Stegostoma tigrinum: one gene and its partner. The protein of the gene in region 1 interacts with the protein of each later gene in a biochemical or structural test. Links are inferred from orthologs where the notes say so. Each region holds a gene or a part of one and is shown on either strand. Other genes may lie near its edges.

What was found.
Region 2: of the proteins of protein kinase C alpha type (region 1) and mgmt, one has a biochemical effect on the other in vitro, tested with the Homo sapiens proteins (2 studies listed by BioGRID). The link is inferred for Stegostoma tigrinum from reciprocal best matches to the Homo sapiens genes PRKCA and MGMT.

The regions. Positions count from the first base shown.
Region 1 is NC_081375.1:8,922,460-8,937,891, reverse strand, and holds the start of protein kinase C alpha type, read right to left. Parts: upstream 8,386-15,432; 5' UTR 8,374-8,385; coding exon 8,216-8,373; intron 7,737-8,215; coding exon 7,705-7,736; intron 1-7,704. UniProt on the Homo sapiens protein: Calcium-activated, phospholipid- and diacylglycerol (DAG)-dependent serine/threonine-protein kinase that is involved in positive and negative regulation of cell proliferation, apoptosis, differentiation, migration and adhesion, tumorigenesis, cardiac hypertrophy, angiogenesis, platelet function and inflammation, by directly phosphorylating targets such as RAF1, BCL2, CSPG4, TNNT2/CTNT, or activating signaling cascade involving MAPK1/3 (ERK1/2) and RAP1GAP.
Region 2 is NC_081373.1:34,861,138-34,876,757, reverse strand, and holds the start of mgmt (methylated-DNA--protein-cysteine methyltransferase), read right to left. Parts: upstream 7,583-15,620; 5' UTR 7,484-7,582; exon of another isoform or gene 7,454-7,483; intron 1-7,453. UniProt on the Homo sapiens protein: Involved in the cellular defense against the biological effects of O6-methylguanine (O6-MeG) and O4-methylthymine (O4-MeT) in DNA. Repairs the methylated nucleobase in DNA by stoichiometrically transferring the methyl group to a cysteine residue in the enzyme.

The DNA of each region.
Region 1 (15,432 bases):
CCATATCTAACCGTCTGGTTATTTTATATGTTTCAATTAAGTCACCTCTCAACCTTCTTCTCTCGAATGAAAACAGCCTCAAGCCCCTCAGCCTTTCCTCGTAAGACCTTCCCTCTGTACCAGGCAACATCCTAGTAAATCTCCTCTGCACCCTTTCCAAAGCTTCCACATCCTTCTTATAATGCGGTGACCAGAACTGTACACAATACTCCAAGTGCAGCCGCACCTGAGTTTTGTACAGCTTCACCATAACCTCTTGGTTCCGGAACTCGATCCCTCTATTAATAAAAGCTAAAACACTGTATGCCTTCTTAACAGCCCTGTCAACCTGGGTGGCAACTTTCAAGGATCTGTGTACGTGGACGCTGAGATCTCTCTGCTCATCTACACTACCAAGAATCTTACCATTAGCCCTGTACTTTGCCTTCTGGTTACTCCTACCAAAGGGCATCACCTCACACTTGTCTGCATTAAACTCCATTTGCCACCTCTCTGCCCAGCTCTGCAGCTTATCTATGTTTCTCTGCAACCTACAGCATCCTTCGTCACTGTCCACAACTCAACCGACCTTAGGTGTCATCTGCAAATTTACTAACCCATCCTTCTACGCCCTCATCCAGGTCATTTATAAAAATGACAAACAGCAGTGGGCCCAACACCGACCCTTGCAGTACACCACTCGTAACTGGTCTCTAGGATGAACATTTCCCATCAACTACCACCCTCTGTCTTCCTTCAGCAAGCCAATTTCCGATCCAAACTGCTATATCTCCCACAATTCACTGGTCTATAATTACCAGGGTTCTCTCTACTCCCCTTCTCGAACAGGGGAACCACATTTGCTATCCTCCAGTCATCTGGCACTATTCCTGTAGACAATGACGAGTTAAAGATCAATGCCAAAGACTCGGCAATCTCCTCCCTGGCTTCCCAGAAGATCCAAGGATAAATCCCGTCCAGCCCAGGGGACTTATCTATCTTAACCCTCTGAAGCATTTCTAATACCTCTTCCTTGTGAACCTCAATCCCACCTAGTCTAGTAGCCTGTATCTCAGTATTCTCCTCGACAACATTGTCGTTTTCGAGAGTGAATACTGTTGAAAAATATTCATTTAGTGCTTCCCCTACCTCTTCTGACTCCACACACAACTTCCCACTACTATCCTTGATTGGCCCTAATCTTACTCTCGTCATTCTTTTATTCCTTAAATACCTATAGAAAGCCTTAGGGTTTACCCTGATCCTATCCGCCAGCAACTTTTCATGTCTCCTCCTGGCTCTTCTGAGCTCTCTCTTTAGGTCTTTCCTGGCTACCTCATAGCCCTCAAGCACCCTAACTGAGCCTTCACATCTCATCCTAACATAAGCCATCTTCTTCCTCTTGACCAGAGATTCCACCTCCTTCGTAAACCACGGCTCCCGCGCTCTACAGCTTCCACCTGCCTGACAGGTACATACTTATCTAGGACACACAGGAGCTTTTCCTTGAATAAGCTCCACATTTCTAATGTGCCCATCCCCTGCAGTTTCCTTCCCCATCCTATGCTCCCTAAATCTTGCCTAATCTCATCGTAATTGCCTTTCCCCTAGATATAACTCTTGCCCAGTGGTATACACCTATCCCTTTCCATCACTAAAGTAAACATAACAGAATTGTGATCACTATCACCAAAGTGCTCACCTACTTCCAAATCTATCACCTGGCCGGGCTCATTACCCAGTACCAAATCTAATGCGGCTTCGCCCCTTGTTGGCCTGTCTACATACTGTGTCAGGAAGCCCTCCTGCACACACCAGACAAAAACTGACCCATCTATAGTACTCGAACTATTGTGTTCCCAGCCAATATTTGGAAAGTTGAAGTCCCCCATGACAACTACCCTGTCTCTCTCGCTCCTATCGAGAATCATCTTTGCTTTCCGTTTTTCTACATCTCTGGAACTATTTGGAGGCCTACAGAAAACTCCCAACAGGGTGACCTCTCCTTTCCTGTTTCTAACCTCAGCCCATACTACCTCAGTTGACGAGTCCCCAAACATCCTTTCTGCAACTGTAATACTGTCCTTGACCAACAATGCCACACCTCCCCCACTTTTGCCACCTTCTCTGTCTATTGTCTTTGCTGCTCACAATGTGGTCTGTTCTACATTGGAAAGACAACACACAGACTGGGTGAGTGATTTGCAGAGCTCCATTCACAAAAATGACCCCAAGCTTCCAGTTGTCTGCACCACTAAGTTCCCAGGCCAACATTCCTGTCACAGGCTTTGTTGCAATTATCCAGCAAGCCTCAATGCAAGCTCAAAGAACAACACCTTATTTTCCACTTGGGGACCCTGCAGCCTCCAGGACTCAATAGTTCATTAACCTAAAAACCTAATTCCATTGTTCCATAGTTTTTAACCCACTGCACACCTGGTCCTGTTACCACATGGACTGCTTTGAGCGCAGTCACCCATTCCCGAAGTATATCATGTAATATAGGTTGCATTCAACACAGCTAACCCATTTTCTAACTCTCATTATCACTTATTCAGCTTTTCTTCCGTCCGAGCCTACCATCCACAATCTCCTTGTTTACTGTCTCCATTCATATCTCTCACTGTCTCTAGGCTCTGTCTCCACCTTTTTGCCCGTACTCAACCTCAAATTTATCATAAATGCCACCTCTTCCCAGTTACTGACAGCTCTGGTGAAGAATTGCCAACGTGAAATGTTAACTGTGCTTTTGTTCCACAGATACTGCCAGACCTGCTGAGTTTATCCAACAATTTCTGTTTTGGTTTGTTTAGGTCTCCAGCATCTGCAGTTCTTTGCTTTATTTCATCTTCAGCAGAATTAACCGGGGTCAAAGGATGTCGTGGTTACTGTGGTCTTTCAGACTTCTGTTTTAATTGTCTGATGGCACCAGAACCATATCCTCAGGGAGTCTCCACCCATTTAAATAAACAATGATGACTTAAACAGTGCCTGCTAAGCCCCACCCCGAAGATGCTGACTGCAGCGTTTTTCTTCGCGGCCCAAGAGGAGAGTGTGTTGCCTGGAGTTTTTTGTGGGTGCACAGCAAGCTCACAGCGAGGCATGCCTGCTCTTGTTTTGGGTGTTTGAGTAACCACAGCAGTGTCAGGCAATGTTCAGTCGGTAGCCTTCTCACCTCGGAGATAAGACAGTCGTTGTTTCAAATGTCTCAGATTGGCGTACCCAATCAGGGTCAACACGGTGTGTGTGCAGCACTGAGGGATAGCTGCAGTGTCAGTAGCACTGCTTTTTTTGGATGTGATATGAAACAGTAATTTCATCTGTTCTCTCAGGTTAGTGTAATAAAATTCCATATTTCAAAAGAGGGGAGGTTTGACCTGGTCAAGAGTTATCCCTGATTCAATATTCAGAGATTACTGTTGGTGGTGGATTGCTGTGTACTAATTAGCTGTCTCACAACAACTGCAAATGCACTTTAAAAATGTTATCATCTGTCATAAACAGCACTGAGACTTCCTGGAGTCTCTATGCGTATTACATACTAGTAAGAGTTTCTACTGCATGACTCAGAGCTTGTAACTCAAAAGGGGTACAGGAGGACCTGCATGTTGGGCTTAAGTAACTGACCAGGTAGCTCAGCGTTCACCCCTCCTCCGAATTCCAAGCAACAAAAAAAAAGAGAATGGCCGTGATTCCACCAACCCCTCACTGCAACAGAAGGGAGGGTGTACCACAAACAGAATCACTGTACAATCTGGCAGTTATAAGACTTAGTTACTAAACTGACGACATTCCCCCACTAGGCCACCATCATCCCACTCTTGCCCATCTTTATACAGCAGCATAAAGGAGAGCAAGGGCTGCAGCAAAAAGCCGGCACACTGGCCAGGAAGCAGTTCAGGAAGACGGGTTCATTCAACGGAACAACAGTCACTCTGATGTTTTCCCCATAAAACAGGAGACAGTCCCCTCAAATCAGGCTCATCATTCATTCAACCGACAGCCAAACTTCCCCTTCAACTTCACTCTTCTGCCACATGTCATATCTGCTCAAACTGCACCAAAATCTAGGGACCACCATTTTAACATAGTCAAGACTCATGGTCATAGCTCTGAGATCTACACGTTCCAGAAATCAGAGGTGGTAGGAACTGCAGATGCTAGAGAATCTGAGATAACAAGGTGTAGAGCTGGATGAACACAACAGGCCAAGCAGTATCAGAAAATTTTCTAAAGAAGGGTCTCTGCCCGAAACATCAGCCTTCCTGCTCCTCTGATGCTGCTTGGCCTGCTGTGTTCATCTAGCTCCACACCTTGTTGTCTTTTTGATTCATTTACACAATGAGGGCATCACCAATATATTGCCCAAACGGCAGTTCAGACTCAACCATATTGATGGGAGTCTGGAATCACACGTAGGCCAGACCAGCTAAGGATGGTAGCTTCAATCCCTAAAAGAACATTCGTGAACAAGATGTGTTTTTCCAATAATTGACATTGTTTCATGTTAATCATTCAAACCTAATTCCAGATCGGTATTGAACTCAAATTCTGCCATCTGACGTGGCAGGATTCAAACCTGGGTCCCCAGAACATTACCGGGGGTCTCTGGATCAATAGTCTGGTGATAATACCACTAAGCGTTTCTAGAAATTCCAATTTTAAATCCAGTCCTTTTTAATTTAAGAAAGAAAATGAACCCACACTTGGAGATTCCGCCCAGAGCACTCAGTGAGCAGCTTCAGGGTGTAACTGAGCTGTCAACACTTTAAACTACAAGGATGTACCTCTCACATTGCACTCTTGCCTGGGACAGACTGGCCACTCGATGTGGCTGTTTTATCAACAGCAGGAAGCAAGAGATCAAAGCTGCTCTGTGAACACTGAGGAGCAGCATCTGCTTCACTGAGCACTGTAGGTAAACTGTGGGCCATTAGCACACAGCTGACTTGCAACTTGGAGAAGCTCAGAGGGCATGAAAAATAATCAATTTTCATAACATCAAATTAAAAAAAGGGAAACAGTAATTTAACACGCCTGCCTGTAAACTCCCTCCATGTTGGCAATAACCACTGTTACACCCCCAGTGGGTAAAATTCCGTGGAAAAAACAAATTTCTACTCAAACAGAAACTTGCATTTTCATTATAATTTTGAGACACAGAGCTGCCAGAGGCTCCCAACAATGAAGCAACCAGTTCAGCAGACGAATGTGACTTGCAACCTCAAACAGAAATTACAAGTTTACAAACACACAAATAAATGAAGGTTGGAATATTACAACAGTCAAGGATTGGGCTGAGGTCCTTCAAGAACATGAGTTTCAGATACTATCAACAGCAACGAAACAAGCCATGTTTATGCCTGGAAATGCATTCCTTCGACGTGGAAGCAGAAGCGTAGCTAAGATTGAACTTGAGAACAAGTTTGGAGATTCTCCATCGACGCAGAGGGTCTGCAGTATGTGGATGTAGCAGTCAGGACAAAAAGGTGCTGGCAACAACTGGATACAGAGGTATCCATGTGAGCAACAGTGGCTATTGCTAATATGGAAGGAGTATCCTTCTGAGCAAAACACCCCACGTGGCTGCAAAAAAAAGTGGTAAGGTTCTGAGACATTTTCTTTTTTTTAAGAAACAAAGGAAAAGCAGGAAGGGACAGCTGTTAGGCACTAGCAATCAAATGCAAGCTCAGAGCTCCAGTCACGCAGAAAAGCAATGGAACAATTCATATTGCTAACGGTGAGCCTGAGGTGATCTCAGGGCATTTCTATTTCTTGTCCTCAGTTTAGAATCATAGAGGTGTATGGCACGGAAACAGATTTTTCAATCCAACTTGTCCATGCCAACCAGATATCCGAAATTAATCCAGTCCCATTTGCCATCATTTGGCCCATATTCCTCTAAACTTGTCCTATGCATGTACTCATTCAGTTGCTTTTTAAATGCTGTAATTGTACCAGTCTCCACAACTTCCTCTGGCAGCTCATTCCATACACACGTCATCCTCTGCGTGAAAAAGTCACCCCTTGGGTTCCTTGTAAATTTTGCCCCCTCACTTTAAACAAGTGCCCTATAATTTTGGACTCCGCTACCCTGGAGAAAAGACCCTGGCTATTCACCCTGTTCATGCCCCTTGTGATTTTATAAATCTCGATAAGGCCACCCCTCAACCACCAACACTCCAGGGACAAGACCCCTGGCCTACTCAGCTTCTCCCTGTAGCTCAAACCCTCCAATCCTGGCAACATCCTTGTAAATCTTTTCTGAACCTTTTGAGGTTTCACCACATCTTTCCTATAGCAGGGAGACCAGAAGGACATGCAGTATTCCAAATGTGGCCTAGCCAATGTGCTGTACAGCCACAACGTGACATCCTAATTCCCATTCTCAATACAAGATTAACAAAAACAGGGGCTGCAGCGTGGACTGCCTGAAGGGGAGTGCACATTGACTTCTGCAGTCAGAGCACAACGTGAGGTGGAAACTTGAATGTTTCTAGAAAGGCCCTAATAAATAGATGTAAATCATCCACACTGGGTTGGAGACACTGCACTCTCTAACACTAGATAATAGTGTGAAGCTGGATGAACACAGCAGGCCAAGCAGCATCTCAGGAGCACAAAAGCTGACGTTTCGGGCCTAGACCCGAGGGGGATGGGGTGAGGGTTCTGGAATAAATAGGGAGAGAGGGGGAGGTGGACCGAAGATGGAGAGAAAAGAAGATAGGTGGAGAGGAGAGTATAGGTGGGGAGGTAGGGAGGGGATAGGTCAGTCCAGGGAAGACGGACAGGTCAAGGAGGTGGGATGAGGTTAGTAGGTAGGAAATGGAGGTGCGGCTTGGGGTGGGAGGAAGGGATGGGTGAGAGGAAGAACAGGTTAGGGAGGCAGAGACAGGCTGGGCTGGTTTTGGGATGCAGTGGGGGAAGGGGAGATTTTGAAGCTGGTGAAGTCCACATTGATTCCATTGGGCTGCAGGGTTCCCAAGCGGAATATGAGTTGCTGTTCCTGCAACCTTCGGGTGGCATCATTGTGGCACTGCAGGAGGCCCATGATGGACATGTCACTCTCTAACACTGCCTGTCTCCGAGCAGAGATGGGTGTAGAAGAGCTAATACAATACAAACAGCCCTGACACACCTTCACTTTCTAGAGAGTAACCCAGTGAAAGTAAACCTTACTCGGTCGCATAGTGAAGTCAGGAGAACTATAGAGAAACGCGTGTATCGGTGAGGCAGTGGGTAAACTGACAGTCCACACTCACTCCAAAAACCTCTCAGGATAAGGAGCAAATGCAAATGTTGAACCAGTGACTGGCAGTGGACCCAGCTGTCACACACTAACCCAACCAACAATGAGCAGCCACAGCGGGGAAAGAGCTTTTACTGTAAAGCCATGAAGTTGGGACTTCCTCATTCTCGCCACGTCGCCAGAGCGGGAAAGAGAGAATTTCGGCATCATTTTCAAACTGAAACTAAGTGGCGAACTCGTCACTGGACACATTCCAGGCCAGGTCCCAGCCTAAGGGATCACTACTCGCACTTGTTCATTTCAAATGATAGCATTCCGCTTCTCGTATGTTTTTTTTGCTCGCTCTTTCTCTCTGGTTATCACTGACAACTTTTTTTTAAAAAATATATATATATATCGTTCAGGCGCAGGAACCCAGACTCAGAGGAAATCAAACAGCTCCCGCTCCAGCCACAGACACATTCACTTTCCAATACCTTGACACTGGAATCCTTGTTTCCCGAAGCCCCTGCAACAAAACAGAGAACACGGGCGTTAGAGGGAGAGGGGCAAAAATAATAAAACCCACACTGGGATCAAGAAAACAGGAGGAACATCAGGAAATACAAACAGAACGAGACGTCACAAGAATTATGAAACAAAATAGGAGGATCAGGAAACCAGAGAGAACAATTTAAAGAGAGGACGGGGGCGGGGGGGGGGGGGGGGAAGAGAGAGAAAAAAGGGAATTCGGAAACAGCACAGCGCAAAGCTCAAAAGTGGGAGGGGATGAGAGTGAGAGACAGCAAAAGCAGTTCAGCAATCTGATCAGGAGAGACAGAGAGAGAGAGAAAGTTTGCACAGGGAGAGTTTGGGGATAAGTTTTGATTGTCCTGATGTTTTGGGGCAGGGTGGGGATGGCACTGGAGTTTGTGCAAGGCAGTGTGGAGGGGAGGGGGTAAATCCCCTCTCTCTCTCTCCCCTTCACTCCCTCTCTCACTCACTCACCAGATGAAGTCAGTGCAGTGGCTGCAGAAGGTCGGCTGTTTGAAGAAGCGGGCGGTGAACTTGTGATCCTTCACCTCACACACGTTCTTCTGTCGCAGGGCTCCCTGGCGAGCGAACCGATTGACTGTCTCTCCACCGTCTCCCTCTGCATCGGCCATTTTATTGCAATCGCACCCACCACCCCCCCCCCCCCCCCCCCAAAACCCCAACCCACCCACCCCCCAAACAACAAAAAGGATAGAAAACGCACAAAATAAAAAAAATCACTCTCACCCCCACCCGCCACAAAATCAAATAAATTGCAGAAAGTGTAGGTGTGACGGAGGCGGAGAGTGACTGAGAGGAGCCCAGCACCGAACCCTCGCTCTTTATCACTGGCAGGAGCTCCGCCCGGTAGGAGCCGCAGCGTCAGAGCCCCAGCCTCCAGCACTGAGCCAGCCAGGGCGGCTCAACACCGCCCCCTGCTGCCGCGGCGCAGGAGCTGCAAGCTGCACCGCACCGCTCCAGGGACCCGCTGTCGCCACCAGCTTCGTGGTCAACCTGTTCAGTGATGTCACTACACAACAGGCGTACCTCCCAGCCCAGAGGTAGGGCCACTACCACAAAGTCACAAGACACCCCGTTCCAGGCACCAGGTTCGGATCCTGCTCCAGACAGTTTCCTGATCAACCTGTGTAGAATTGTTATAACGCAGATGGGAGCCAGAGGCAGGGACATTCCCACGCTGCAACCAGGAGCCCGAATGTAGTCTCCTCCTGGACACTACCCCCAGGCCTCCTACCCTCCCTCGACCTCTTCATCTCCAACTGCCGTCGAGACATTAACCGCCTCAACCTCTCCACCCCTCTCACCCACTCCAACCTCTCCCCCGCAGAACGGGCAGCCCTCCGCTCCCTCCGCTCCAACCCCAACCTCACCATCAAACCCGCAGACAAGGGTGGCGCGGTGGTAGTATGGCGCACTGACCTCTACATCGCCGAGGCCAGATGCCAACTCTCCGACACGACCTCCTACCGCCTCCTCGATCATGACCCCACACCCGAGCACCAAACCATCATCTCCAACACCATTCACGACCTCATCACCTCAGGGGACCTCCCACCCACAGCCTCCAACCTCATTGTTCCCCAACCCCGCACGGCCCGTTTCTATCTCCTTCCCAAAATCCACAAACCTGCCTGCCCTGGTCGACCCATCATCTCAGCCTGCTCCTGCCCCACCGAACACATCTCCACCTATCTGGACTCCATTTTCTCCCCTTTGGTCCAGGAACTCCCCACCTACGTCCGTGACACCACCCACACCCTCCACCTCCTCCAGGACTTCCAATTCCCTGGCCCCTAACACCTCATATTGACCATGGATGTCCAGTCCCTGTACACCTGCATTCCGCCTGGAGATGGCCTCAAGGCCCTCCGCTTCTTCCTGTCCCGCAGGCCCGACCAGTCCCCCTCCACCGACACTCTCATCCGCCTAGCTGAACTCGTCCTCACACTCAACAACTTCTCTTTTGACTCCTCCCACTTCCTACAGACTAAGGGGGTGGCCATGGGCACCCGCATGGGCCCCAGCTATGCCTGCCTCTTTGTAGGTTACGTGGAACAGTCCCTCTTCCGCACCTACACGGGCCCCAAACCCCACCTCTTCCTCCGGTACATTGATGACTGTATCGGCACCGCCTCTTGCTCCCCAGAGGAGCTCGAACAGTTCATCCACTTCACCAACACCTTCCACCCCAAACTTCAGTTCACCTGGGCCATCTCCAGCACATCCCTCACCTTCCTGGACCTCTCAGTCTCCATCTCAGGCAACCAGCTTGTAACTGATGTCCATTTCAAGCCCACCGACTCCCACAGCTACCTAGAATACACCTCCTCCCACCGACCCACCTGCAAAAATTCCATCCCCTATTCTCAATTCCTCCGCCTCCGCCGCATCTGCTCCCACGATAAGACATTCCACTCCCGCACATCCCAGATGTCCAAGTTCTTTAAGGACCGCAACTTTCCCCCACAGTGATCGAGAACGCCCTTGACCGCGTCTCCCGTATTTCCCGCAACACATCCCTCACACCCCGCCCCCGCCACAACTGCCCAAAGAGGATCCCCCTCGTTCTCACACACCACCCCACAAACCTCCGGATACAACGCATCATCCTCCGACACTTCCGCCATTTACAATCCGACCCCACCACCCAAGACATTTTTCCATCCCCACCCCTGTCTGCTTTCCGGAGAGACCACTCTCTCCGTGACTCCCTTGTTCGCTCCACACTGCCCTCCAACCCCACCACACCCAGCACCTTCCCCTGCAACCGCAGGAAATCCTACACTTGTCCCCACACCTCCTCCCTCACCCCTATCCCAGGCCCCAAGATGACATTCCACATTAAGCAGTCTGCCAATGTGGTATACTGCATCCACTGTATCCGGTGCGGCTTCCTCTACATTCGGGAAACCAAGCGGAGGCTTGGGGACCGCTTTGCAGAACACCTCCGCTCAGTTCGCAACAAACAACTGCACCTCCCAGTCACAAACCATTTCCACTCCCCCTCCCATTCTCTAGATGACATGTCCATCATGGGCCTCCTGCACTGCCACAATGATGCCACCCGAAGGTTGCAGGAACAGCAACTCATATTCCGCCTGGGAACCCTGCAGCCATATGGTATCAATGTGGACTTCACCAGTTTCAAAATCTCCCCTTCCCCTACTGCATCCCTAAACCAGCCCAGTTCGTCCCCTCCCCCCACTGCACCACACAACCAGCCCAGCTCTTCCCCCCCACCCACTGCATCCCAAAACCAGTCCAACCTGTCTCTGCCTCCCTAACCGGTTCTTCCTCTCACCCATCCCTTCCTCCCACCCCAAGCCGCACCCCCATCCACCTACTAACCTCATCCCACCTCCTTGACCTGTCCGTCTTCCCTGGACTGACCTATCCCCTCCCTACCTCCCCACCTATACTCTCTCCACCTATCTTCTTTACTCTCCATCTTCGGCCCGAATCCCCCTCTCTCCCTACTTATTCCAGTTCCCTCTCCCCATCCCCCTCTCTGATGAACGGTCTAGGCCCAAAACGTCAGCTTTTGTGCTCCTGAGATGCTGCTTGGCCTGCTGTGTTCATCCAGCCTCACATTTTATTAGCCCGAATGTAGATATTTGCTAAACAACCTGTTCAGGGATGTTAGGAAACATATCGGGAGCATGTGAGACTTGAACCTGGACCTCCTAATTCACAGGGACGGGCGCTACCAGCTGCCCCACAACAGCCCTTCAGACACTGCTGGACAAGCTGACAAATGATTTCCACGTGTTTTGGGGGTTGGAGGACATGCTGAGTCGTGTTATGATTGCTGGACATAATATAATCCAGAGACCTAGGTAATGTTCTTGGGATAAAACGAAGAACTACAAATGCTGGAAAAGTGAAACTAAAACAGCGATTGTGGTTCTGAAGAAGGTTCGCGGTTTCCCTCTCCACATCTATTGCCAGACTTGCTGAGTTTCTCCAATAATTTATGCTTTTGTTTCTAATGTCCCTGGGACTTGGGTTCAGATACTGCCACAGCACATGGTGGTATCTGAATTTGATTTAAGACATTTGTGGCACAATTGTAGTGTCCATATCTCTGGGCCAGGAGGCTTGTGTTCAAATCCCAGCTACTCCAGAGATGCGCCAAAACAGCATAAGGCCCTGCAAGCCTTCTTTGCCATTCATGAAGATCATTTTTTGAATCATAGCTTTTTTTTTGTAGAACTCAGCTCCACTTATATGCCTGCTCACCATAACCCTTATCCTGGAATCATAGAATCCCTACAGTGTGGAAGCAGGCCCTTTGGCCCAACAAGTCCACATCAAACCTCAAAGCATCCCACCCACACCCACCTAACCTACACATCCCTGAACACAACAGGCAATTTAGCACAGCCTTGCAAACCTTTGGATTGTGGGAGGAAACCCAAGCGGTCACAGGGACAACACACAAGCTCCGCACAGAAAGTCACCCAAAGGTAGAATTGAACCCAGCTCCCTGGTACTGTGAAGCAGCAGCGCTAACCACCATGCCACCCTATCTTCTATTGTTCAAAAGTCTATCTTTGCCTTAAAAACAATCAACAAGGTGGCCTCAACTTCTTCACTGGGCAGGAAATTCCACAGATTCACAATGCTACAGGTGAAGAAGTTCCTCCTCAACTTAGTCCTAAATCCGATCCCCCTTATTTTAGCACTGTGCCCTCCTAGTTCTAATTTCACCCGCAAACGGAAACATCCTCCCTGCTTCTTTCTTATTTATTCCCCGTGTTATTCCTGACTTCTCTTTTGATTCAGTATTCCACACATGCACCATCACTCCACTCTGAGTGAAGGTTTAAAAATCGTCACAGGAACAATCATTTCTGAATCTAGAGTCTATTACACAAAGTATCAGTTATCTGCCTGCTGTTAAATGCTCATTCTTCAAGTACAGACCACCTTCACACACTCACCCAGTATTACCCCTGGTCACTGTTCATACTTTCCCCACAGGGCTTAAACAAGCACATTTGATACAACTAATGGTGATACTAGATTTTAAAAAGGAACGTAAACAATGTAGTCAAAAAGAATTGTTAGTTAAGGACTGGGAGGGTTTTAACAAACAGTCAATGATGATCAGGATTTGATGAAATGGAGTGAGAGGAAATTACCAAGGAATATCTAAATAGGTTATGTAGCTTTCATTGTTATATGCTGCTAGTGGAATGAAATGGCAGCAAATAACCAAGAGGTGCAGCGTCTTAGAGGAAGTGTTAGAGGAAGTGGTTGCAGAGATGTACCCATATATCTGCTGCCCTTGTCCTTCTAAGTGGCAGAGGCCATTGGCTTGGGAGGTGCTGTCAAAAGACCTTTAGTGAGTTAGTACAGTATGTCTTGTTGATGAAGTACACTGCTGCCTCAGTGGTGAAGGGAGTGCGTATCGAAGGTGGAAAACGTGGTACCAATCAAGCAGGCTGGATGGTGTCATGCTTCTTGAGTGTTGTTGGAGCCGTGCCCATCCATTCAAGTGGGAATATGATACTCCTGACTTGTGCTTTGCAGGTAGTGGACATTTTGGAGAGTCAGGAGGTGAATTACTCAATGCAGAATTGTTAATCTCTGACCTGCTGTTGTAAACACTGCATTTACGTGGCTCGTCCAGTTCTGTTTCTAGTCAATGTTAACCTTCAGTATAATGATAGTGGGAGATTCAGCAATGGTAATGCCATTGAACATCAAGGTCAAGGGACAATGGTTAGATTCTCTCTTGTTAGGGATTATCATTTCCTGCACTTGTGGAGGTTTTGAATGTTACTTGCCACTTGTCAACCCATATGCTATCCATGTCTTTCTGCATTTGGACATGGACTGTTTCAGCAAATGAGAAGTTATTGATGTTGTTGAGCAGTTTTGATGAAGGAGCCCCAGACTCAAAATGTTAACTCTGTTTTTTCTCTACAGATGTTGCCAGACCTGCTGAGTTCCTTCAGCAATTTCTGCTTTTGTTTGTTTCAGATCTCCATCATCCACAATTCTTTGTGTAATTTATCTGACAATGCGCAGTCATCAGTGAACATCGCCACTTCTGACCTTATAATGGAGGGAAGGTCATTGATGAAGCAGCTGAAGACGGTTGGCCCGGGACACTGCCCTGAGGAACTCCTGCAGAGATGTCCTGGAGCTGAGCTGAGTAACCTCAATGATATTCCAAATTGCCCCTCATAACTCTGTTCAGATTCAAGATCCTAGTTTCACAATCAACTGTATCATTTTTATACTTTTATATGTAAGTCCTTACACTATGATCAGAATAGGGAGGATCGGGAGGTGATGTGCAACTATCTTATTGAATGAGGGGACAGTGGAGGAGGTCAGAGTTACCAATTGCCGGCTCCTTTTCCTTGGCTATGTTCTGCCCAGGTGTTTGAAAGGGAGCACATGGTGCACACCAACACTCTTGATGCCTTTAGACAGTGGTAGGAACTACAGGGGTAATTCCTTCTCTCCGCCTCCGATGCCATTTTGATTTAGCCCCCTCCTTGGTGCTGTTGCATTGCCCTTAATGGGTTCTGCATGTAAAGCCAACAGTTGGAAACATGGGTAATTTACTGGTGCTGGTTACAACTGAACGATCGAAATTTTACAGCATAGAGGGGGCTATCCAGTCCATCTTGTCCATGCCAAAACAAAGACACTCAGATGTCCTTTCTATCCCGTCATTCCGTAGCTCTGCAGCTTACAACACTTAAGGTACAGATCCAAATGCTTTTAAAAAGAGTCTCTGCTTCCACCACCAAGTCAAGCTGTAAATTCCAGACACCCACCACCCTCTGCATCAAAATGTTTTTCCTCACGACCCCTTTAATCCTTCTGCCACTTAGATTGAATCTATAACCCCGTGTAGTGATTGTAATAAAGGACCTCATAGAATACGAGTTCCCCAATTGGGGCTGTTAATCTGGTCCATTCAGTGAGACCTGGCTGACAGATATAAATAGAAGGGGCAGAGATTTTGTTCACTCTGTGAGGTGACTCTGAGGGAGCTAGATCAGTTTCATGTGCTGTACGCCTATAAGTAAAGGTTGACTTGGTTGACAGAATACCGGCCTCTGTGGAGTTATTTCACCCTGGTTTTTGAAATCTCTACCAAGAAAATCAGGTCTACTCTATCTCTAGCCCTCACAATTTTGTATACCTCAATTATGACACCCCTCAAGTGAGCATAATGAAAGAGGAAGTTACCAGGACTATTCCCTTGAATGTTGAAGGAGAAGAGGGAGGAAATAGCAAATGCTTTGAGAGTTATTTTACAGACTTCATTAGACATAGTTGAGGTGCAGGAGGCCAAGAGGAATGCAAATGTGATTCCGTTGTTTGAGTACAAAAACATTGCCGAACAATAATAGCCAGTTAGTCTTACCTGGGTGGTGGGAAAATTGTTAGAATCAAGCCTGAAATGTTGAATAAATTGTCAGTTGGAAAGGCATGGACTAGTCAGGGATAGTCAGGATGGCTTTGCTAAAGGCAGGTCATGCTGTACAAAATTGTTTGAAGTTTTTGAGGAAGTGAAAAGGAGGATTGATGAGGGTAATGCAGTCGATGTTGTTTAAATGGATTTTAGTAAGGCATTTAGCAAGGTCCCACATGGCAGACTGATCAAAGAAGTAAAAGCCCATGGGATGGAGGGTAATGTGTTG
Region 2 (15,620 bases), on another chromosome or scaffold:
TTCAGCAACGTGATCCCCTAATTTTCTATGGTTTTCATTAAACTTTACATTTTCAGTCTCCTTCAGAAACTTTACTTATCAAATAGGCACTGAAGTGCAGAGAAAAAGATTAGTGAAGACAAATATAGGCCCTCTACAATCAGAAACATGAGACGTTATCATGGGGAACAAGGAGATTACAGATCAATTACATGCATATCTTGGTTTAGTATTCATAAAGGAGGGTGCAAATAACTTGCCAACATGTTGGAGAATAAATGGTCATGTGAGAAGGGGGAATTGAAGGACATCAGTATTAGTTGAGAAGTGATGTTGGGAAAATTGATGGGATTAAAGGTCAATAAATCCCCAAAGCCCAATAATCTACAACCCAGAGTGCCGAAAGAAGTGGCCCTAGAAACGGTGGAAGTATTGGTCATCTTTGAAGATTCTACAGACCGTGGAACAATTACTATGGCTTGGAGGGTAGTTAACATAACCCTACTATTTAAAAAAACAGAGGTAGAGAGAAAATAGGGAATCATTGACCGGTTAGCCTGACATCGGTATTAGGAAAATCGCTACAGTCCATTGTTAAAGATTTAATATTAGAGTATTCAGATAACAGTGGCAAGGTCAAACTCCAGCTATTCACCATAGATTAATGAGTTAAACAGACTAAAAGTAATCTCTCCAAGTTTGCAATCAACACAAAGCTGGGTGGGAGAGTGAACTGTGAGGCAGACACAGAAATACTTCTGCGTGATGTGAATAAGTTGAGCAAGTACGCAAACTCATGGCAAATGAAGTACTGTATAGATAAATGTGAGGCTATTCACTTTGTTGGCAAAAACAGAACAATAGATTGTTATCTGAATGGTGCTAAGTTGGGAAAAGGAAATGTGCAACAATATCCAGATGTCCTTATACACCTATCGCTATAAATTAAGCATGCAGATGCAGCAGGAGGCAAAAAAGGCAAATAGTATGTTGAACTTCATTGCATGACGATTTGAGTACTGGAGCAGAGCAGTCTTGCCACAATCGTACAGGGCGATGGTGAGACCACAACTGAAGTTGTGTGTGCAGTTTTCGTGGCCTTATCTGAGAAAGGGATGTTCTGGCGATGGAGGGAGTGCAAGGAGGAGACTGATTCCTGGCATGATATAAAGAGAGGTTGGATTTTTTAGGATTATACACACAGGAGTTTAGAAGAATGAGGCGAGCTCTCACAGAAATCTATAAAATTCTAATAGGACCAAACAGGGCAAAGGCAGGAAGCATGTTCCCGATGACAGGGAATCCAGAAACGTGGGTCACAGTCGAAGAAATGCGACAGGCCTTTAATAACTGAGATATGGAGAAATTTCTGCACTCGGATAGTAGTGAGCCCATGAAATTCTCTGCCACAGAAAGTGGTTGGGGCCAAAACATTGAAATTTGTCAATGAGTTAGATACGGTTCTTAGGGCTGAAGAGATCAAAAAGTATGAGATGAAAATGGGAACACGGTACTGAGTTGGAGGTTCAGCAATGATCATACTGAATAACAAGTCAGGCTCGAAAGGCTGAATAGCCTGCTCCTGCTAGTATTTTGATAGTTCCTTTTCTGGATCAAGGGCCAACACAGCTAGTTGTGGGGGCGAGCCCACGCTTGTGGCAAAACTCCTTGTAGCCTGGTCAGAATACCTTCTTTGGAAGAATATGGTGCATGGTACAGAAGAGACTGAAGCAAATACATACAGTCATACAGCTGTAAAGCTTGGAAACAGACCTAGAGGCCCAACCCATCCATACTGACCAGATATCCTAAATTAATGTCGTCCCAATTGCCAATATTTGGCCCATATCCCTCTAAAGCCTTCCTATTAATATTCCCACCGTATGTCTTTTAAATATTGTAATTGTACCAGCCTCCACCACTTCCTCTGGCAGCTCATTCCATGCACACAACGCCTTCTACATGAATCAGTTGTTCCTCAGGTCCCTTTCAAATCTTTCCCTTCTCACCTTAAACTTATGCTCTCTCGTCTTGGACTCCCCCATCACGGGGTAAAGACCTTCGATATTCACCCTATCCATGATCCTCATGATTTTATAAACCTTTGAAAGGTTACCCATCAGCCTCTGATGCTCCAGGAAACATTACCCCAGTCTATTCAGCCACTCCCTATAGCTTAAACACTCCAATCCGAGCAACATTCTCATAAATTTTTCCTGAAACCTTTCAAGTTTCACAACATCCATCCTATAGCAAGGAGATCGGAATTGTATACAGAATTTTAAACAAGCCTAATCGATGTGCTGTACAGCCGCAGCATGACCTCCCAACTCCTATACTCAATGCACTGAACAACAAAAGCAAGCATACCAAATGCCTTCTTCATTAACTTGTTGACCTGGGACTTCACTTTGAGGAAGCTATGAACCTGCACTCCAAGGTTTCTTTGCCTAGCAACACTCCCCAGGACCTTACCAGTAAGTATATAAGTCCTGCCCTGATTTGCCTTTCCAAAATGCAGCGCCTCACATTTATCTAAATTAAACTCCATCTGTTGCTCCTTGGTCCATTGGCCCATCTGATCAAGGTCCCGTTGTCCTCTGAGATAACCTTCCGCACTGTCCACCACACCTCCAATTTTGGTGTCTTCTGCAGAAGTATTAACCATACCTACCTATTAACCACTTCCTACAGTCTCTGTCGATTCCTCCCACTTCCTACATACAAAGGGGGTGGCCATGGGTACCTGCATGGGCCCAAGCTATGCCTGCCTCTCTGTAGGTTACGTGGAACAATCCCTCTTCCGCACCTACACAGGCCCCAAGCCCCACCTCTTCCTCCGACACATTGATGACTGTATCGGCGCCACCTCATGCTCCCACAAGGAACTTGAACAGTTCATCCACTTCACCAACACCTTCCACCCCAACCTTCAGTTCACCTGGACCATCTCCAACACATCCCTCACGTTCCTGGACCCCTCTGTCTCCATATCAGGCAATCACCTCGAAACCGATATCCATTTCAAGCCCACCGACTCCCACAGCTACCTAGAATACACCTCCCCCCACCCACCCTCCTGCAAAAATTCCATCCCCTATTCCCAATTCCTTCGCCTCGGCTGTATCTGCTCCCAGGATGAGGCATTGCACTCCCGTACATTCCAGATGTCCTCGTTCTTCAAGGACTGCAACATCCCTCCCCCTCCCACAGTGGTCGAGAATGCCCTGAACCGTGTCTCCCACATTTCCCGCAACTCATTGCTCAAACTCTGTCCCCGCAATAACCGCCAAAACACAAACCCCTCATCCTCACGTACCACCCCACCAACCTCCGGATCCAACGCATCATCCTCCGACACTTCCACCATCCGACCCCACCAAATACATTTTTCCCTCCCCACCCTTATCTGCCTTCCAGAGGGCCCACTCTCTCCGTGATTCCCTTGTCCACTCCACACTCCCCTCCAGCCCCAGCACACCCGGCACTTTCCCATGCAACCGCTGGAAGTGCTACACCTGCCCCCACACCTCCTCTCTCACCCCCATCCCAGGCCCCAAGAAGACTTTACACATCAAGCAGATGTTCATCTGCCCATCTGCTAATGTGGTATACTGCATCCACTGTACACGTTGTGGTCTCCTCTACGTCGGGGAAACCAAGCGGAGGCTTGGGGACCGCTTTGCAGAACACCTACACTCGGTTTGCAATAAACAACTGCACCGCCCAATTGCGAACCATTTCAACTTCCCCTCCCATTCTTTAGATGACATGTCCATCCTGGGTCTCCTGCAGTGCCACAATGATGCCACCCGAAAGTTGCAGGAACGGCAACTCATAGTCCACTTGGGAACCCTGCAACCCAATGGTATCAATGTGGACTTCACCAGCTTCAAAATCTCCCCTCCCCGCACTGCATCCCAAAACCAGCCCAGCTTGTCCCCGCCTCCCTAACCTGTTCTTCCTCTCAACTATCCCCTCCTCCCACCTCAAGCCACCTCCGTTCCCTACCTACTAACCTCATCCCACCCCCTTGACCTGTCCGTCCTCCCCAGACTGACCTATCTCCTCCCTACCTCCCCACCTAAACTCACTTCTACTGGGTCCATCCCTGCCTCTTTAACTTGTCTGTCTCCTCTCCACCTATCTTGTCCTCTATTCATCTTCGATCCACCTCCCCCTCTCTCCCTATTTATTTCAGAATCCTCTCCCCCTTTTCTGATGAAATGTCTAGGCCCAAAACATCAGCTTTTATGGTCTTAACATGCTGCTTGGCCAGCTGTGTTCATCCAGCTCAACACTTTGTTATCTCAGATTCTCCAGCATCTGGAGTTCCCATTATCTCTATTAACCATACCTCCTATGTTCACATCCAAATCTTTTATACAAGTGGCAAAAACCAGTAGGCCCAGCACCAATCCTTATGGCACACCACTGGTCACCGGTCTCCAGTCTGAAAAGCAACCTTCCACCACCCTCTGTCTTCTACCTTTGAGCCAGTTCTGTATCCAAATGGCTAGTTCTCTCCCGCATTCCATGGGATCTAACCTTGTTAACCAGTCTACCGTGTGGAATTTTGTTGAAATCCTTGCTGAAGTCCATATAGATCACGTCCACTGCTCTGTGCTCATCAATCCTCTTTTTTACTTCTTCAAAAAATTCAATCAAGTTCTTGAGACATAATTTCCAATGCACAATTCCATGTTGACTATCTCTAATCAGTCCCTGCTTTTCCAAGTACATGTGAATCCTGTCTCTCAGGATTCCCTCCAATGACTTGCCCACCACTGATGTCAGGCTCACTAGTCTATAGTTCCCTGGCTTTTCCTTATCACTTTTCTTAAATAGTGGCACCATGTTAGCCACAAGCGAGGTGATGGAAGACTGGAGTTTGGCTATCGATGGTACAAATATCTCAGCAAGGGGCCCAGCAATCATTTCCCTAGCTTCCCACAGAGTTCCAGGGTACATCTAATCAGGTCACGGGATTTATCCACTAATATGCATACATTCGCTTCTCTTCAAAGTAATTGTATTTCTAAGTGTATCTTGAAAATAAAATTACACTCTGTGTATCCCTCTTTCCTTTTTGAATCCCTTAATTATAGTCTGTTTTATTTCAACTTACATACCAATGTGTGAACAGTGCCATAAAGTATGCTCTACAATCTGTAATTAATGTCAGCTCAACAAAAATTCCAATTATAAGGCACTTTACTGCACAATAAGCTCATGACAAATGAGAGGCCTACTCTATAACAAAAGTTTGCATTTATACAGTGCCTTTAACATGGTAAACAATTGCACGGCTTTTCACAGGAGCAGGGCCAGAGAAAAGAAAAATGACATAAGCCACATGGAGCATCGTCAGGGCAGGTAAGCAAAAATCAGTCAAAGTTCGGGGAGATCTGACCGACCAATCAGATCTTTTCTATTATCTGGGCTCCTCAGACCATAAAATTCTGAACCGATGATCAGATTTTTTTTAGTTCACAGGATGTGGGCATCACTGGCTGGACCAGCATTCATTGCCCATCTCTAATTGCTCAGAGGGCAGTTGAGAATCAACACATTGCAATGGGTCTAGAGTCACATGTAGGCCAAACCAGCTAAGGATTGTAGTTTCCAACCCGAAAAGGCTTTAGTGAATCAAATGACTTTTTCTGTTGATCAGCAATGGTCTCATGGTCAAATTAGACGTTGAAATTCCATATTTCTCTTTTTTTGAATACAAATTCCACCGTCTGCCATGATAAGATTTGAAGTCAGTTACCCAGGTCATTACCTGGGTCTCCAGATGAATAGTCAGGCACTAAGACCACTAGGCCATCACCTCCCCTCATTTTAATGCTTTGTGCGTTGGTTCCGAGCAGTCCAGTGTGCAAGCTCTAACCGGCACCCCAAAATTCAAATTCGGAGGCAGAGAGCGGAAATCATGTCAGCTGCCAGCAAATGTACAGGGCCTAGATCAGATGCAGTCCAAAAGTCGCAGTGCAGACTCACAAAAATAGCTGTCAGTGTGTGGATTGATGCCTCAACAGTAGCTGTGGGGAAACATGCAGAGGGAAGAAGCCAAATGTAATTGCTGCATCGAAAAGTATGTTCTTTGATCTCCATCACTAAAATGCTGCTGTTAACAACTTTATTTGACTACACGTTGTGTTCTTTTGCCTTCTCCTAAAAAAGTCAAATTTTAAAAAGCAACAGTATAAGAAATTGTTTCATTAGAGTCATATTGATATGAACTATTTCTAAAATAACGTGATGGGAGAGCAATCAGATACAATCACAAACATCCAGTTCTGCAAAGCGACCTACATAAACGGTGTTTTCTAAACACTAAAGAGTTCTCAAAAAAAACTTACCGACTGTAGTAGAATCTCAGGATTCTCCTGACCATGTAAGTGATTAATTTTAATATAAAACAGTAGTTGCATAAACAAAGAACAGTACGCAACATTTAAACTGCTCACGCTGTCTATCTTCTGTACACGTGTGCTGCAAACTCTTTAAAGAGCAGCCCTACAGGGACAAGTACTGTTGTGTAAAGTACACACCCTCTTACACATCCCAAAGCATTTCATTTTAACATTCTTCAACGAACAGATAATTGGTAGTCAAAGGACATCTCCATAAAACCCCACTGACTAATGTTTCACTGAAGTGAAACAGACTAGTACCAGTAATGTCAGGTAAAATATCCACCTGGACTATGTTCACTAGTCAGAGATTAGCCTGTTTACAGCACTGCATGGTGACTAGTGAATGTACTCCAGGAGGATCCTCCTGTCAGCAGAGTGTACCCGTGCATTGATATGTCAGTCAGCAGAGGTGTACAGAGAAGCCCTTAGACTGTGAATCATTCGGTGGCACGGCTTTTATAATGTTCTGGGACGCAGAAGAGATCAAGCGCATTTATCTGCAGCATCATTTTCCCTTAAAGCAGCAGTGCGCTTTATTTTGGGCCTGTCAACAGAATCACTTACAAATGAGGAAAATAGCTGCGTGAAAGATACTGAATAACACCCCCTCCCCCCAGAATCGCGAACAAAGCATGTTAAGGAGATAAATATTTGTGGAGTTAATAGGGAACTATTGGAAGGGTTTATGCGGTGCTGTAACAGGAGGCCGCGGCGTCGGATCTAACACAATTAAAGTTGTGCTGCAGCAGAGACTGGTTTCAAATTGCAACCCGAACGGATACATGAAGGGATACAAAGTGTCCCCTTTGAGCCTGCGCGACTTCCTCTCCTGTCACGTGGAAGACGACTCTTTTCCCGGACACGGAGCGAAAGGAGGAAAGTCTCTGCGGCTGTGAGGAACTGGGACTAAACCGCACTCAGTGCTGCGGCTCTCACGGCGTGCAGACATCAACGTGAAAGTTCCCCGAGTGAGCCGCCTTGCCCAAGTCCACCCAGTAACCTCCTCATTAACTACCCCCCGGGTATATCAGACTTCTTCCACACACACTCACATTTCTGAATTGAAACAACTCCCGCTGTACCTGTGGACACAGAAGCAAAAGTTCCCTCCTTAGGTCATGAACTTCCGTCCGAAGCAAAGAAGCTAGTGCGTTTGCGCAGATTGTTTACCCCTTTCAGTTTCAGTTTTTTTTGTTTTAACTTGTTAATCATTTGCCCAAGCAGTCCTTTTTTTATTATCGATAATGATAAGCATTTGTTCCGAACTCCAGGGTGATTGTTCTGGTAGGAGGTCAAAATATTTGTTTTATGATTAAGCAGTGTGCCTTCCCTGCCTTGCTGGTCAATCAATATCGCTACCTTAGTGAGCAAATTTCCTGCTGCCCTGATGCTGCTTGGCCTGTTGTTTTCATCCAGTTCTATACTTTGTTATCTCAAATGTTTTTAATGTTGTCTTAAAGTTAATGAGTTTAACTGCTTTACTAACTCTGTGCTTTAATTTCCAAAAAAGTTTTACAAAAAAGAAAAAGCAGAGGATCGGAGACCGCTTTGTAAAGGACGTGTGCTCTGTTCGTGACAAATGACAATACTTCCCAATCGTGAACCACTTCAACTCCCCCTCCCAGGGTGACATGTCCGTCCTGGGCGTCCTCCAGTGTCACAGTGATGCCACCAAAAAACTGGAGGAGCAGCACCTCATATTCCTCCTCGACAGCCTACAACCCAACGCTCTCAATGTGGACTTTATTCGTTTCAAAATCTCCCCACCCCAGGCCTCATCCCATAACCAACTCTCCCTCTCATCCCTGCCTCCTTGACCTAACACAACTTGCCCATATCCCCTCCCACCTTACTGACCACTCCCTACCTGCACTCACCTATCACCATCCCACCTACCTTCCCCAACCCCATCTCCCTCCCCCCATTTCTGAAGAAGGGTCTTGACCCAAAACTTCAACTTTCCTGCCCCTCTGATGCCTGTCCTGCTGTGTTCTTCCAGCTCCACACTGTGTTATATCTGCTCAAAAAGGAAATACGTTTTTACTGAAAATCTTTGTTGCTTTGTAATACCAAGGTTTCTGAAGCAGCACGCTCTGCCATTGTGACTTGTACCACCGAGAAGGACAAGGATCAGCAGACTTCTGGCAACACCTCTGAACCCCACACACCATCCTAACTTGGAAGTCTATCGCTGTTCTATTATTGTGTCTTGGTTAGATTCCTGGAGTTGTTTAGATTAGATTCCCTACAGTGTGGAAACAGGCCCTTCGGCCCAACAAGTCCACACCGCCCCTTGAACCATCCCACCCAGACCCATCCCCCTATAACCCACACACCCCTGAAAACTACAAGCAATTTAGCCTGGCCAATCCACCTAGCCTGCACATCTTTGGACTGTGGAGGAAACCCACGCAAAACATGAGGAAAATGTGCAAACCCACCATCACAGTGGAAGCAGTTGTTCATGTACATTGTGGTAGTTCCAGAAGTGCCTTACCCGAATCTTAAGGGTGGCTAATGATGAAAAAGTGTGAAATGAGGAATCTTGTAGGAAAAATGCAATGGACAATCTGAACAGATAGTACAGTTCTGAAGGAGATACTTGGGGTGTGTTACACAAATCTGGATGAGATAGCAGGTCAAGCTAAGAATGCGAATAAAAGCATTTAAGATTTTTGACTTCATTAGTAGAGTTAATGCTAAAATCTTATGGAATTTTTAGTTGGCCAAAGCTGAAATATTTAGTTCCATTCTATGCATCCCACTTTAGAAAAGATTGCAAGAGCTGAGAAGGAATGGAGGAACTGTTATCTAAAATGGCTTTAAAACTGGTGATTTTCAGTTATTTGGACAGGTGCAGGTTAGAACAAATAACAGGCAATTCAGCCCGCCAAGACTGCATTAAAATATTATGGCTTTGTAAGTAGGTCTTTTGCTTCAATGCAGTCCCTGTCCCTCTCCTTCATATCTGTCGGGATGCTGCTTAAGTATAGCTATTGCATCAGTCTCTACCATCTCTTCTGGCAATGTATTCTAGGCATCAGAATGTATGCAGTGGAATGTCCCTTTTAAACAAAATAATAGCCCTTTTGGCACACTAAAAGCAACATTGGCTAATTGAATGGCATGCTGGGAAAGAAACAAAGCCAATAAGCTTGCAGAATTCACTGTCAAATTGGATCAGGCCAGACAATGTACAAGATATTTACCTTGATCTTATCAACACTTATTCAATGCTATGAAATCTTGGATTGAATGAAAATCGGAGTTTTGGTAGAGCTGTTCTTGAGACAGCCTGGCTCCTAGGATCGATTTCAGTCAGTAGGGAAGTTACAAAGTCCTCTTGTAACACCTTTTCCTGGGACAGAATTTCATTTACATGAATGATGTTACTACATTGCTGTATCAAACTGCTGTAATTACATAGGATGAATCTGCATGTCAGTTACCCTGCCAACAAAGTGAATGATAGGAAGCCACTGTACTTGGGGATGACCTAGAAAACTACTTAAAGGGACAACTCAAATCAGACACTCTACAGACAACATTAGCACAAGGAGTTGGAACCTTGGGAGCGAGAAGGGCAGCCTCCACTTCAGGTCGTCCAGCTGTAGTCAGGGTAGTACAAACTTCTTTAAACCCTCTTTTAGGAAGCAAAAGATAGTAAACTGGTGTGCACATAGTCTTTTAAGAAATGTAAGTCTACTCAGGCCTTTAGATGGACATTTGGTTTTATAGAATTACAAGTATATATCTTGTGTTTCAACAATAATAAACAACCTCTCATGATAAATCGTGTCTCATTATTAGTGAAAAACGAGTCCCAGTAAGTAAGCAAGTAAATCATAGACACATCAAAATGATGCCTGCAAGAAAAGGTTTAGGATTGAAAAAAACATGTATAACCCATCTGTGCAAAAAGGGAGGGAAGCAGAAGACAGTAACTCCACGCCCCTTGTCTTCTGATCTATTGTGGGAATGGTGTTAGAATTCATCAATAAAGAGGTTGAGGGTGCGTTTTTGGGAAAAAAAACTGAAAGTAAACAGGATGAGTCAGCATAGTTTTGTAAAGGAAAAATCATTATTAGACGACTGAAGGAATAACAAGTGCTGTGGTCAAAGATGAACCTCTAGATGTAGCATACTTGTATTTTCAGAACATATTTAGAATCATTCAGAAGGAAGAGGCCCTTCTGTCCATTGGGTCTGTACGGCCAAAGCAGTATATACTCACTACCTACACTCATCCGACTTTGCCCACTGGGCCCATAGCTTGAATATTATGCCACTTCAAATGTTCGTCCAAGTATCTTTTAAAGGTTTTGGGGTCACCTGCCTCGACTATTCCCTCGCAGTACATTCCAGACACTTGCCACAATCCAAGTGAAAAGATTTCCCTCAAATTCCCTCTAACCATCCTTCCTTTCGCTTTAAAGCTGTGTACCTGTGTTCTTGCCCTTTGACTAAAGGGAACAGCTGCTTTTTATTCACCCTGTCCCTGCTGCCCAATTTTGTACACCTCTGTCAGATCTCCCGTCAACATTCTCTACTCCAAAGGAAACAACCCAAGCAAAGCCAACCTCCCAGGTGCTGTAGCAAAAGTAATTGCAGAAAATTTTAAAAACTCATTGTTAGAACCTCAGTGTAGAAGTAAGCCATTTAGCCCCCTGATCCTGCTCTGCCTTTTAATACATTCATTGTCAATTTCATCTTGGTTCCAACTCCAGTTCCCCACCTGCATCCCTTTAACTTGTTACTAATTAAAAATCCATCGATCTCCTCCTCAAACTTATTCAGTGTGCTGGTGTCCACTGCACTCTGGGATGGTGAATTCCACGGATTCATGAGCGACTTAATTCCTCCTCATATCCGTTTTAGATCTCTCACCCTCTTGCTCTAAACCTCTGATTTCTCATTCCAGATTTCCCCAACAGGGGAAACTTGCATCGGCATTGTCAGTCCTCTTTAACATATATTGCATCAGATCTCATTCTAAATTCTTGTGAGTTTAAGCCCAAATTGCTCAATCTGTCTTCATGAGAGAAGCCTGCTGCCTCTGGGATTAATCTAGTGAAGTAACATCTTGCTTGCAGTATGGGCTCCTAATTTAAGAAAGGATGTAAATGCACTAGATGTGATTGAGAGGAGGTTTAGAAGAGTGTCGGTTAGCTCAGTTGGCTAGATGGTTATTTTGTGATGCAGAGTGAGACCAATAACATGGGTTCCATGTCCACAGCAGCTGAGATCACCATGAAGGACTCTCCTTCTCAACCTTTCCCCTCATCTGAGGCACAGCAACCCTCAGGTTAAACCACCAGCAGTTGTCTCTCTCTTTCTCTAATAACAGAGCAGCCTTGATGTCCTCTGATACTTTGGTAACTTTGCCTACTTTTACCTTTGTTACCTGGAATGAGGAGGTTGTCTTATGAGGAAGTATTTCACAAACCGGACTTGTTTTTACTGAAATTAGAAAGAACGTGGGGTGATTTGATTGAAGTGTATAAGATCCTGAATGGCCTTGATAAGGCACATGTGGAAAGGATGTTTCCTGTTGAGTTCAGAACTAGGAGCACTATCATAACATTAGAAGTTGTTCTTTTAGGACAGATGATGAGATTCTTGTTTTCTGAGAGTTGCACAACTTTGGAACATAATACCCTGAAAGGAGGTAGAAGTGGGCTCGTTGAATATATTTGAGACAGAAATTGATTGGTGGAGATTGAAACATGAAATTCAAAATATGAACAGGCCAGTATGATATTATTGAATAACAGATGCCACTCAAGGCCAATTAGCTACTTGTGCTATTTAAATCTTCAAAAAAGTCTGTTCTGCCATTCAGTAAGATCATGGCTGATCTGAATGTGGCCACCATGCCACTTTTGATTATTTCTCATCAGCAAATGTGACCCCAAAACATGAAACAATAACTTACTCTCCAAGCTGCTGCCAGACCTGGTATTTCCAGTATTTTTTACTTTTATTTCATGTTTAGACATAAAATGAGATCTACATTACTGTAAGTAAACAGCAACAGGTTTCAATGAACTATGTATAAAGGATGGTAAGCAGGGACATTTAAGAGCCTAAAGACCCAAGCCCCAATTCCATGTGAATCTGATGTCACCACGGCTGAACAACTGAGCATGTAAACAGAGCTTCTACCCAGAATAAAGCTACAATTCCTTTTATAATGTTGCCGTTATTCAAATATTAGCTTCCAGAAAGGAGATTTTCTCTTGTCTGCTTTGTGTAGTAAAATTGCAAAGGCACTGTTTATAAACACGGTCACTATTTTGAGACACAGAATATACAGGTAGAAAATGCCTCTTGTTTTGCAGAAATCAAGCCCATGTCTATCCTTGTATTTGTTTCCTTTTCTGTGAGTGACAATTTGCTATTTGCTGGGGTTTCAGTTCCTATTAATACTGTTAAGCCCTTCAGTATCAGATGCCATTGCTGTGACAGGATAAATTTACTAAGTTTTGTATGTAAGTGTTTTTTTTTGTATGTAACTATTCCATAGAGTAACCTGAAATCCAAAAGATGGTCCTGGGTGAAAATTAAAAACCAAGGTTTATCTGGCAAGTGGGCGCAACCTGACTTCTGTCACTGGAAATTAAACCTTAAAAGCAAATTGGTATGAAGCAGATACCCTCCCAAAAAGCAGTGAAAAGTAGGATATCATATAATACTTTGTGGCATTTACAACAAACCTATTTGTGCAATGCATGAATCACTATTGATGAGAACTTAGAACTATACAGTACAGAACAGGCCGTTCTGCCCACAATGTTATACCGATCATGATGCTAAATGAAATTGAACCCTTCTGCCTGTCATTTGTCCATATCTCGTCATTCTTTGCATATTCATGTGCTTATCCAAAAGTCCCTTAAATACCTGTATTGTATCACCACCACCTCTGGCAGCTCGATCTAGACCCCTACCACTGTCTGTGTAATTAAAAACTTGCCCCTCATATCTACTTTGAACCTTCCCCCTCTAACCTAAATGCATATCACCTGGTATTGGACATTCAACTCTGGGGAAAAGATTCTGCCTGTCAACCCTATCTATCCATTTCATAATTTTATAGACTTCTATCAAGTCTCCCCTCAGCCTGCATTGCTCGATACAAAACAACCCAAGTTTTTCCAACCTCTCCTTACAGCTCATACCCCACTAATCCAGGCAGTATTCTGATAAACCTTTTCTGCACACTCTCCACAGCCTCCACATCCTTCCTGTAATGTGGCGACCAGAATTGAATGCAATACTGTAAGTTTGGTCTAACCAAAGTCTTACAAAGTTGCAACATGACAAACTGATTTTTGGACTCAATTCCCCAATCAATAAAGGCAGGCATGCCGTATGCCTTTCTTTACCACCCTATCTACTTCCATGGCTACTTTCAGGAGTTATAGACTTGAACCTTAAGATCCTTCTGTATATCAATGCTGTTCACAGTCCTGCCATTAATTGTTTCCTTAACATTTGATTTCCCAAAGTGCAGCACCTCACACATATCTGGATTGAACTCCATCTGTCATTTCACCACCCATATCTGTAACTGATTTATATCCCACTGTATCCTTTGATAAGCTTCTATGCTATCCACAAATACACCAATTTTTGTGTCATCTGCAAACTTACTAACCTACCTATCTGCATTTTCATCCAAGTAGTTTATATATATCACAAACAGCAGAGGTTCCAGTATGGATCTCTGTGGAACACCACTAGTCCAGACCTCTAGGCTGAAAAACATCTAGGCTGAAAAACATCCTTCCACCACTACCTTCTGTCTTCTATGGGCAAGCCAATTCTGAATCCATGCGGCCAAGTCACTGTGGATCCCATGCATCTTAACCTTCTGGATCAACCTACCATGAAAGTCTTACTAAAGTCCACGTCGTCAACATCCACTGATCTACTCTCAACAATCACCTTCATCATCACCTTGAAAAATTCAATCAATTTGGTAAGACAAGACCTGCGCTGCACAAAGCCATGCTAACTAACTCTAATTAGCTCATGCTTTTCCAAATGCACAAAAATCCTATCTTTAAGTTTTCTCTCCAATAGCTACTCAATCATCAATGTGAGACTCATTGGTCTGTTGTTTCATGGATTATTCCTATTCCCCCTCTTGAACAGAGGAACAACATTAGCTACTCTTAGTCCTCTGGACCTGTCCAGTGACTAGCAAGGATACAAAGATCTTGGTCATGGCCCCAGCAATCTCCTCTCTTACCTCTCTAAATAGCCTGGAGTAGATATTGTTGGGGCCTGGGGACTTATCCACATTAATGCTCTTCAAGGGATCCAACACCACTTCTTTCTTGATCTCAAAATGCCGTAGAATTTTAACATGCTCCATACAAATCTCACTATCCACCATATCTTTTTCCTGGGTGAATACTGACGCAAAGTACTCATTTAAGACATGACTCACATTCTCTCCCTTCAAGCACAAGCTCCCTCCTTTATCTTAGAGTGGCCCTACCTTCTCCCTAGTTATCCTCTTGATTTTAATATTGCTAAAGAATACCTTGGGATTCTCTTTAACTGTACTTGCTAAGGTCATTTCGTGGCCCCTTCTTGCTCTCCTAATTCCCAGTTTCAGTGCTTTCCTTATATTGCTCACAGGCCTAGTCCAGGTTTAGCTTCCTAAACTTTACATTTGCTTCTTTTCTCCTTTTGACTAAATTCACAATTTCCCTCATTATCCAAGGGTCCCTGACCTTGCCACCCTTGTCCTTCCTCCTTATTCAAACATGCCGGTCTTGAACTTTCCCCAGCAGGTCTTTAACCACTTCCAATATGTCAAATGTGGACTTGCCTGTTAACAGCTCCTCCCTAGCTCCTGCATAATACTGACATAATTTGGTCTTCCCCAATGTAGTACCTTTCCACAAGATTCTGATTTATCCTTGTTCACAGCTATCTTAAAATTTAAGGAGCTGTGATCACTATTACCAAAATACTCTGAAAAGTCAATCATCTGGCCAGGCTCATTAGCCAATTCAAGGCCCAATGTGGCCTGTCCTCGAATCGGACTATTCACATACTGTTTCAAGAAATCTTCTTGGATGCACTTAGTAAAATCTGCCCCATCTAAGTCTCTTGCTCTGTGGAATTTCCTGTCAATACCAGGGAAGTTAAAGTCATATATGATGACAACTCTGTTTTTGTTGCACCTTTTTATCTGCCTAC